Ovis aries: one gene and its partner. The protein of the gene in region 2 interacts with the protein of the main gene of each other region in a pairwise test. Links are inferred from orthologs where the notes say so. Each region holds a gene or a part of one and is shown on either strand. Other genes may lie near its edges. The genes, in order: ANXA4 and PADI4.

Region 1 (3,810 bases), on a different chromosome or scaffold from region 2:
AGCAGGTGATCCTGGGGATGATGACACCCACAGTGCTGTACGATGTGCAGGAGCTGCGAAAGGCCATGAAGGTTCGTGCTCCTCTCTTCCTGCTCTTGGGGCTGGGGGTGCAAAGGTGGACCCACGGGGCGTTCTCAAGAAGCCATGATAGAGGCCTGAGAGTGTAGAGGAGGAGGGTGTGGGGGAAGGATTTTCCTTAAGACAACTTGAAAACAGGACCTTACAATCTAGCGACTGTAACTTCAAAGCTGTTTCCCCAAAAGTTAAGAAATTCTTTCTTCTCCGTGGCCCACTGGGGAGTGATTATACTCGTGCTTGCTGTGTTGCTGCTACTGCTGCTAAGTCGCTTCAGTCGTGTCCGACTCTGTGCGACCCCATAGATGGCAGCCCACCAGGCTCCCCCGTCCCTGGGATTCTCCAGGCCAGAACACTGGAGTGGGTTGCCATTTCCTTCTCCAGTGCATGAAAGTGAAAAGTGAAAGAGAAGTCGCTCAGTCGTGTCTGACTCTTAGCGACCCCATGGACTGCAGCCTTCCAGGCTCCTCCGTCCATGGGATTTTCCAGGCAAGAGTACTGGAGTGGGGCTTGTGTAACTCCAGACAATTTCTTGCCATATTAGCTCCTGTTTTGAGATATGGAACTTTTGACTGACCCCGTGAGGGCCTCTTGGGCTGCTGTAAGCTCAGAACCTGCCAAGAGTTCTCAGCCTCCCAAGATGCTAGAGCCACTGTGCCCTACACCAGGCTCTGCCGATTTTTAGCAACCAAGTACAAAATTCAATTATGACTCCCCTCCTCCCTCACGTCAATGAATATTCAGGTTCATGGGAGGTTCTGGGCTAGTCACTGGGAAACAGAGATAACAGCCTTTGCCAGAAGATTCTGCCCTTCAAAGGAAAAGTACAGGGGAGACCAAGGCAAGACAAAATCCCCAGAGGGTGGAAACTATTCCTAACCAACACCCAAAAGCAGCCCATGAAATGTTTGTTATGACTAATAAACATGTTGGAATCTGGATAGGAAAGTTAAAAATGAGCAAATCCTGTTGCTGGAACTAGCTGAGTTGTCTTTATTCTCTGCAGATTTCTGGTTGTATCCCTCCTGTGTCTGGGACTCAACTTGGTGACCTGACTCATGACACCCTCTCCTCTGGCTTTTACATTTAGGGAGCTGGCACAGATGAGGGCTGCTTGATTGAGATCCTGGCCTCCCGGACGCCCGAGGAGATCCGGCGCATAAACCAGACCTACCAGCTGCGTATGTAGCATCCTCAGGGGCCTTGGTGGCGGCCCTGTCCTCTGAGAAGTAGACTGGAGCGGGAGGTTACCCACTGAAACACTGACCTCGAGGGAGCCTCAGCTACAAGCTCAGCTGTCAGGCAGATCCCTGTCGATCCAAATGACTGTTGGCTTTTCGAGACTTCTCAGGGGTACCTGCCTCTCTTCTTAGGCTACCCAGTGAAGTGTTTACTACCCTGAAAGCTGAAAAGCTGTTCTTTAGTATCAAGCAGAGAATCAAAGATGTTTATTCAAATGTGGTGGCACCACTGAATCATAGCTTTCCAGGGAGTGGCCTGGAGGAGCAGTCTCCTCAATTTCTTACCTTCAGACTAGGCTGTAGGTCCCGCAGCCACCCCCAGTGGCAAGACTCCCCTCTTAAAAATCTCCTTCTTGACCTAAGGAATATAATAAAAAATGTCCAAAGGTTCAGATCCCACAGTGTCATCTATATTAGCTTAAAATGTCCAGCAGAGTGGCTAAACAAAGATGTCCAGCAGAGTGGCTATCCATACAACATAATCATCAAAATGTATATCGGAGGATGTTATTAAATTACAATGAGTGGTATGGTATACGAATAAGGGGAAAAGACAAATCATAAAATGAGATGCTGTGATCCCATTTCTTAAAGAAACAAAAATAATATGTGATGTGGGGAAAATGAGGAAGGATATTCACCAAAATGTTATCAGTGATTATTTCTGGGTGATTAGATGAGGTTTTGTTCAACGCCTCCCCGCGCCCCGCCCCCGCCACTTCATTTAACTCATTCAGTTTTTCCTAAGTTTTCTGTAATAAATGTACAGTTCAGTAGAAAGAAAACAAAATAGTAAGAGTTTTTTGGTAGGTGTTCAGAGTGGGAGAGTGGAAACCTGGGAGTCTGGTTCTAGCGCTGACTGCCTGTGGTCTTCTCCCTGTGGACAGTCCGCTGCTTGTCCCCAAACACAGGTTCAGAAGCTCCATCCTATTTGCCTTTCCTCATGCTGCTTAACCAGCTCTGTGTCACTGCAAACCACATTCAGGACAGATCCCTAGATAGTAGGAACCACCAAAGAGGGGATCACAGCCCCGCGTTCTCAACCCACAATGTAAGCAACAAGAGCATCTTGTCTCTGCTCTAATCATCAACTTCTCTTGACCATTTTACCAAGACTTTAGTTTTTCATCAGCTGTGTATGGGCTGAAGAACCTCACGATGAGTTGCTTCAGTAATCAGGCTGGTCCAGGAGAGGACGGAAAACTCTGGGGTGTGACCTGGTGTTGGGCAGAGATCTTCACTCTGATGTCACTAATTTGACTCTCTTGCTAGAATATGGGCGGAGCCTTGAAGACGATATTCGCTCTGACACATCATTCATGTTCCAGCGCGTGCTGGTGTCTCTGTCCGCTGTGAGTCGCTCCCACCTTTGATGGGGGCAGGGGGGATGGTTTATTGAGACGTTCACTCTCTACCGGCTCTTCTAGCCTTTCTCAACCTTTCAACCTCCCAAATGGGAATTTTTCCCTGTGTTTTTCTGAAGCCTCTCTGTTATTTTATATTCTGTCTTTAGAGACTCTAGCTAGTCATGCATCCCCATTTTTTCTCATTTATGCATACAAGTACCTAATATACGCCAAACAATCATTTCTCAGTGCACTGAAAGTTAGGAATGTGGTTAAAGGCAGTCCTGGGCTTTAAGAATTTATATTGTCAGAAGGGGATCTAGCAGGCCCATGTGTTGCTATAATAAAAGCATGAAAGTATGTGCCAAAAAAGAGGCACAGAGCAGAAGAAAGGTTCAAGGAGAGATTTTGGTTGCAGAAACAAAGAAAAGGCTTCATGGCAGAGGTGCTGGCTGAGAGAGGACTAGTAGGGTTGCTGGAATTTCAAGAGGCACAGGTGTGTGGGGGTACATTCCAGGCAGAAAGAACAGTGAGGACAAGACAAGGAGTCAGGAAACACAGATTGGGTTCAGGGAACAGTTGGCTGAGCCGCTGGACTAGTAATTCTAGGAGTCAGGTGGGAAAATGAACAGGGGTCCCATGTTGGGGAGAGTTTGTGCTTTTTTTTCGGAGAGCTGTGGGGAGCCTCTGAAGGTTTTGAAGCAGTCGTGATGTGATTGGAACTTCTTAGAAGAGTAGTATTATAGCGGTGTTCCAATGAATTGAACCAGAGGAGGGGAGCCCAGGCAGGGGTTACCTTGGTATTCTAGATACTGTGAAGAAAGCAGGTCTGGGCCAGTGTGGGGGCAGGGATGCCAGAAAAGAGAGATGGATTTACAAGCATGTCACACAACTTCACAATTTTATCTTTAGGCCTGACCTCCTTCCAGAGTGTGAGACTCTCATTTCTCACTGCCTTTTCCCTGTTTCCTTGTGGATATTCTGCCATCACCTCTGTCCACTCAGCCCTCCTAAACTATGCTTGAACTCATTTTGCCTCCAAACCAGCTCTTCTTCCTCCCTCATCTTTTTCTATTACTGTTGTTTCTGTTTTTGCAACAACCAAAGCAGAAGCCTGGAAAGCATCTCCAGCCCCCACCTTGCTATGT
Region 2 (4,275 bases):
TCTATCTATCAGATCTAGGCCCTTAAATCTATTTCTCACTTCTACTGTATAATCATAAGGGATTTGATTTAGGTCATACCTGAATGGTCTAGCGGTTTTCCCTGTTTTCTTCAATTTCAGTCTAAATTTGGTAATAGGGAGGTGATGATCTGAGCCACAGTCAGCTCCTGGTCTTATTTTTGCTGACTGTATAGAGCTTCTCCATCTTTGGCTGCATAGAATATAATCAGTCTGATTTCGGTGTTGACCATCTGGTGATGTCCATGTGTAGAGTCTTCTCTTGTGTTGTTGGAAGAGGGTGTTTGGTATGACCAGTGCATTTTCTTGGCAAAATTCTATTAGTCTTTGCCCTGCTTCATAATTAGATTGAAAGTAGACTTCTCAACAACAGTAATGAAATCCAGAAGACAGTTAAATAACATCTTCAAAGTATCTTGAAAAAATAACCGTTAACTTTTATTTGTGTACGTAAAGTTATATTTTAATAAAAACATTTTCAGATGAAGAAGAACTGGCATTTTAATTTGAAACCAATGCATTTTCACCAAAGCAACTCCTAAAGATACACTTTAAGAAGTTTGCCTTAAGAAGAAGATATCCAATGTCAGAAGCATCTGGATGTAAGGAAGAATGGTGAGCAGATAAAACGGTAAATACTTTGGTTAATCCGAAGAGTCTTGTCTGTGTTTTAAAAGTTTATAAAAATATCAAAATTGCGACATTAAGAAAAAAAAGGCAGAATGTAAATTGGGAGGGGTAATGACAGTTAAAATGTTCCCAGGCGCTTGATTGAAGAGAGGATTAAGGTAGTGTTCAATCCCTGGTGGCTCAGATGGTAAAGACTCTGCTTGCAAAGTGGGAGACCCAGGTGTCATCCCAGAGTTGGGAAGATCTCCTGGAGGAGGGCATGGCAACCCACTCCAGTACTCTTGCCTGGAGAACCCCGTGGACAGAGGAGCCTGGTGGGGTACAGGCCACAGGGCGGCCAAGGGTCGGACACGACTGAGCAACTTTTACTTTCAACATTTTATTATTAAAATGTAAAGGTATTCACCAGAAGAATAGAAATAAAGTCCATAAATTTCCATACATGGAGAAAATGCAACAATTTTTTAAGAGAACAGGAAAATTTCCTTCAAAAAGGCAAGTACAGAGAGAAATGGACAACGGAAAGGTAACTGGTAAAAACAAGCTTCCTCTTCTGTGAAATGGGGACAGCGCTGCCTTCCTCACGGGGGCTGGCTGAGCTGTGTGTGCCAAGCGTGACGTGAGTGTCACCGTGACCGTGTGAGCCGGCGGGGCTGGAACCCTGGGCTCGATGGACAGACTGCCCTGGCGCAGGGTGGCCCGGATAACGGTGGGCCTCCTCCCCCCTCAGTCCTCACCCTCTCGGCCTCCTGCCAGCCTCCGTGTCCCCAGGAGGCCCCAGACACTTCCTGCGGTTTGCTGCCCCGCTTCAGGAGGCAAGCGACCCTCAAGGAAGTGTGCCAAGCTGTCCTCTGGGCGCTCTTCCAGAAGCACAGCTGCTCACCTGTGGCGGCGGAAGCTGGAGGCTGGCGCTGTGCCCACCACGAGCAGCTTAGACCTCCCTGTTTAGCTAGAGCCTAGCACGGGGCTTGGCTGCAACAGGGGTTCAGTTAGCATTTGTCGAAGGAATGAATGGACAGAAGAACCGCCACCGGGGCAGGCCCAGCACTGTGGTAAGTGCACAACAGGCATTCTCGAGGTTTCCACACTTCATCCCCGCAAGCACCCTACAAAGCGGGTATGATCCCCATTGCACAGATGAAGAAACTGAGGCTCAGCTGCCCAGGGCATCTCAGCTAACCAATAGCAGGGCCAGGCCTCCGCCTCCGCCGCTCCATGCCAGAACCTGTCTCATCACGCCCGCGCTATTGCACACCCACGGAGGGAGGCTTGGCTGAGCAGCGCAGGGCAGCCCAGCGCAAGGGGAGGTGGGCCGGGGCTGTGAGATCCGGAGGCCAGACTCGTTCCCAGGATCCACGCACTGTGCGACCTTGGGCGAGTCACAGGACCTCTCTGCGCTTCACGGCCTCAAGCGTGAGAGGATGTGGTCCTGCTTGCCCTACCAGGTTTCCTGTGCGGTGAGGCCCTGGGGAAGCCCCTCTCGTCTGTGGCGATGAGCCGCTGCCTTGAGTCCAGGGGAGTCCTGGGGCCACTTGGATCTCGGCCCTCCGGCTTCTCCCCGGCAGTGGCCGCCGCTTGAGCCAAACCCCTCGTGGGGCAGCAGAAGGCGTTCACCCACAGCCCCAGAGCTGCCCGTGGCCCCAGAACGTCCCCTGCTCACCTGTAGACATCCAGCTGCGTCTCGGTGCCCAGCACACACACGGCCTGGGTGGGCTGCCCCGGGGCCACGTGGACCACCGTGCCCCAGGCCATCGCTGGCCTGTGCGTCCCTGCGGCTGCAGGAGGCCCCGGGGCTGCTGCTTTTATCTGCCCAGCGCCCAGCGGAGGCCGTGAGTCAGCGCCTGCGGTTTGTGGCTCAGCCCTTCCTCCTCCGGGGCTGGCGGTGTCTCCCCGGCCCCTCCTCTGTCCTGGAGCTACCCCCAGGCCGGGGACCCAGTTTGGCGCTGATGCCAGGACTGGTGGCAGGCTGGTTCGGTCAGCGTCCTGGCAAGAGCTGAGGGTTTCGGAAGCCTGTGAGCGGGGCTGCGGGTCTGAGGTCTCATGCCCCCTGGGTCTCCATCCCCTCCTGGAGCCACGGACACCTGGGTCCATCCAGACAGGGTATCAGAGAGGAGAAGGCGAGGCTGAGGCCACAGGCCGGGCGACACCTTCAAAGAGGAGCCAGGGAAGACAACAGCGTGTATGAACGCACGTGTACGGAATCTGGGAAAATGGGACTGAGGAGCCTGTTTGCAGGGCGGGAATAGAGCCGTGGACCTGGAGGACCGACATGTGGACACAGCGGAGGAAGGGGCGTGGGGGCGAGCTGAGAGAGTAAGACTGACGTACACGCGGCCGTGTGTGGAGCGGACGGCGAGTGGGAGCCGCTGCACCCCGCAGGGGGCTCGGCTCGGCGCTCTGCGAGGGCCTGGGTGTGGGGCCAGGGGCGAGCACGAAGAGGCTCGGGGGTGGGGGGCAAGCAGGAGGAGGCTCCAGAGGGAGGGGGGTGTGTGGCCGATGCTCTTCGCTGTACCACAGCCACTAACACAACTTTGTAAAGCCATCATACTCTGATTAAAAATACACAACAGAATAAAAGGGACTAAACAAGAAAAGCCTGACCAGGTTTGGGACAAGTCACCCCAGGCTGGGCCACCCCTGCGACGGCTGTCTCCTGGGGTTTCTCCTGGGTGTGCGGGGCTTCTTTCTCTGGCCTTCGCGTGGAAAACTCCCTAAGGCGAGCTTGTGAGGTGGGTTCTGCTGTGATTCCCTCATTTCACCCTCACAGAGGCTCTCTGGGGTCAGCGCCATTATCATCCCCATTTTCCAGAGGAAGAAACCGAGTCACGGACAGATTTCACGGCTAGAAAGCGGCAGAGCCAGGGTGTGAGCCAAAGGCACCCTGCCCTGGGCCAACATTTGCCGCCTGCCCGTCCAGGTGAGGGGTGGCGGGACGGGCCCCAGAGCCAACACCCAGAGGAGGCCTGCTCGGGGATCTGGAGCAGCAGAGCCTCTACTGGAGCCTATGAGTCTGCAGTGGCGTCTGGGCCCTGCTGAGCCGCGAGGTGAGCCGGTTATGCAGATACGCGCCGCCAGTCCTCTTCGGACGGTCGTTACAGAGTGCTAAGTCGAGCTCCCTGTACACACAGTGGGTTCTGCTACATGCGGGTCCTCATTATTAATAGTCCCCTGGTTCACACCCGGTCATACGTATGCGCCAAGCCCAGTCTCCCAGTCCAGTCTTCCCTCCGTCCTCCCTCGGTAACCATGTTTGTTTCCTACATCCGTGACCCCATCTCTGTCTTGGAAGAACATTCGTTTGTACCATTTTTTAAGATTCTGCATATAAGTGATACCATATATTTGTCTTTCTCTGTCTGACTTTGCTCATAATGACAATCTCTAGGTCAACCCATGTCACTGCAAATGGCATTATTTCATCCTTTGTTACGGCTGAGTAATATTCCGTTGTGTATACATACATATATGTATATACACCATATCCTCTTTACTGCTCTCTCCGCGGCCATTTCTCTTGCTTCCGCGTCCTTGCTATTGTAAATACTGCTGCAACAATCGTTAGGGTACACATATCTTTTCAAATTGTGGTTTTCTGGCAGCTCTATTTTCAGTTTTATTTTAAGGAAC

The links.
Region 1: the proteins of PADI4 (region 2) and ANXA4 interact in binary tests that used the Homo sapiens proteins (3 or more experiments, as listed by UniProt). The two-hybrid records come from large-scale screens. The link is inferred for Ovis aries from reciprocal best matches to the Homo sapiens genes PADI4 and ANXA4.

Annotation. Positions count from the first base shown.
Region 1 is NC_056056.1:38,569,549-38,573,358, reverse strand, and holds part of ANXA4 (annexin A4), read left to right. Parts: coding exon 1-71; intron 72-1,165; coding exon 1,166-1,256; intron 1,257-2,588; coding exon 2,589-2,668; intron 2,669-3,810. UniProt on the Homo sapiens protein: Calcium/phospholipid-binding protein which promotes membrane fusion and is involved in exocytosis.
Region 2 is NC_056055.1:248,954,060-248,958,334, forward strand, and holds the start of PADI4 (protein-arginine deiminase type-4), read right to left. Parts: upstream 3,048-4,275; 5' UTR 2,740-3,047; coding exon 2,309-2,739; intron 1-2,308. UniProt on the Homo sapiens protein: Catalyzes the citrullination/deimination of arginine residues of proteins such as histones, thereby playing a key role in histone code and regulation of stem cell maintenance.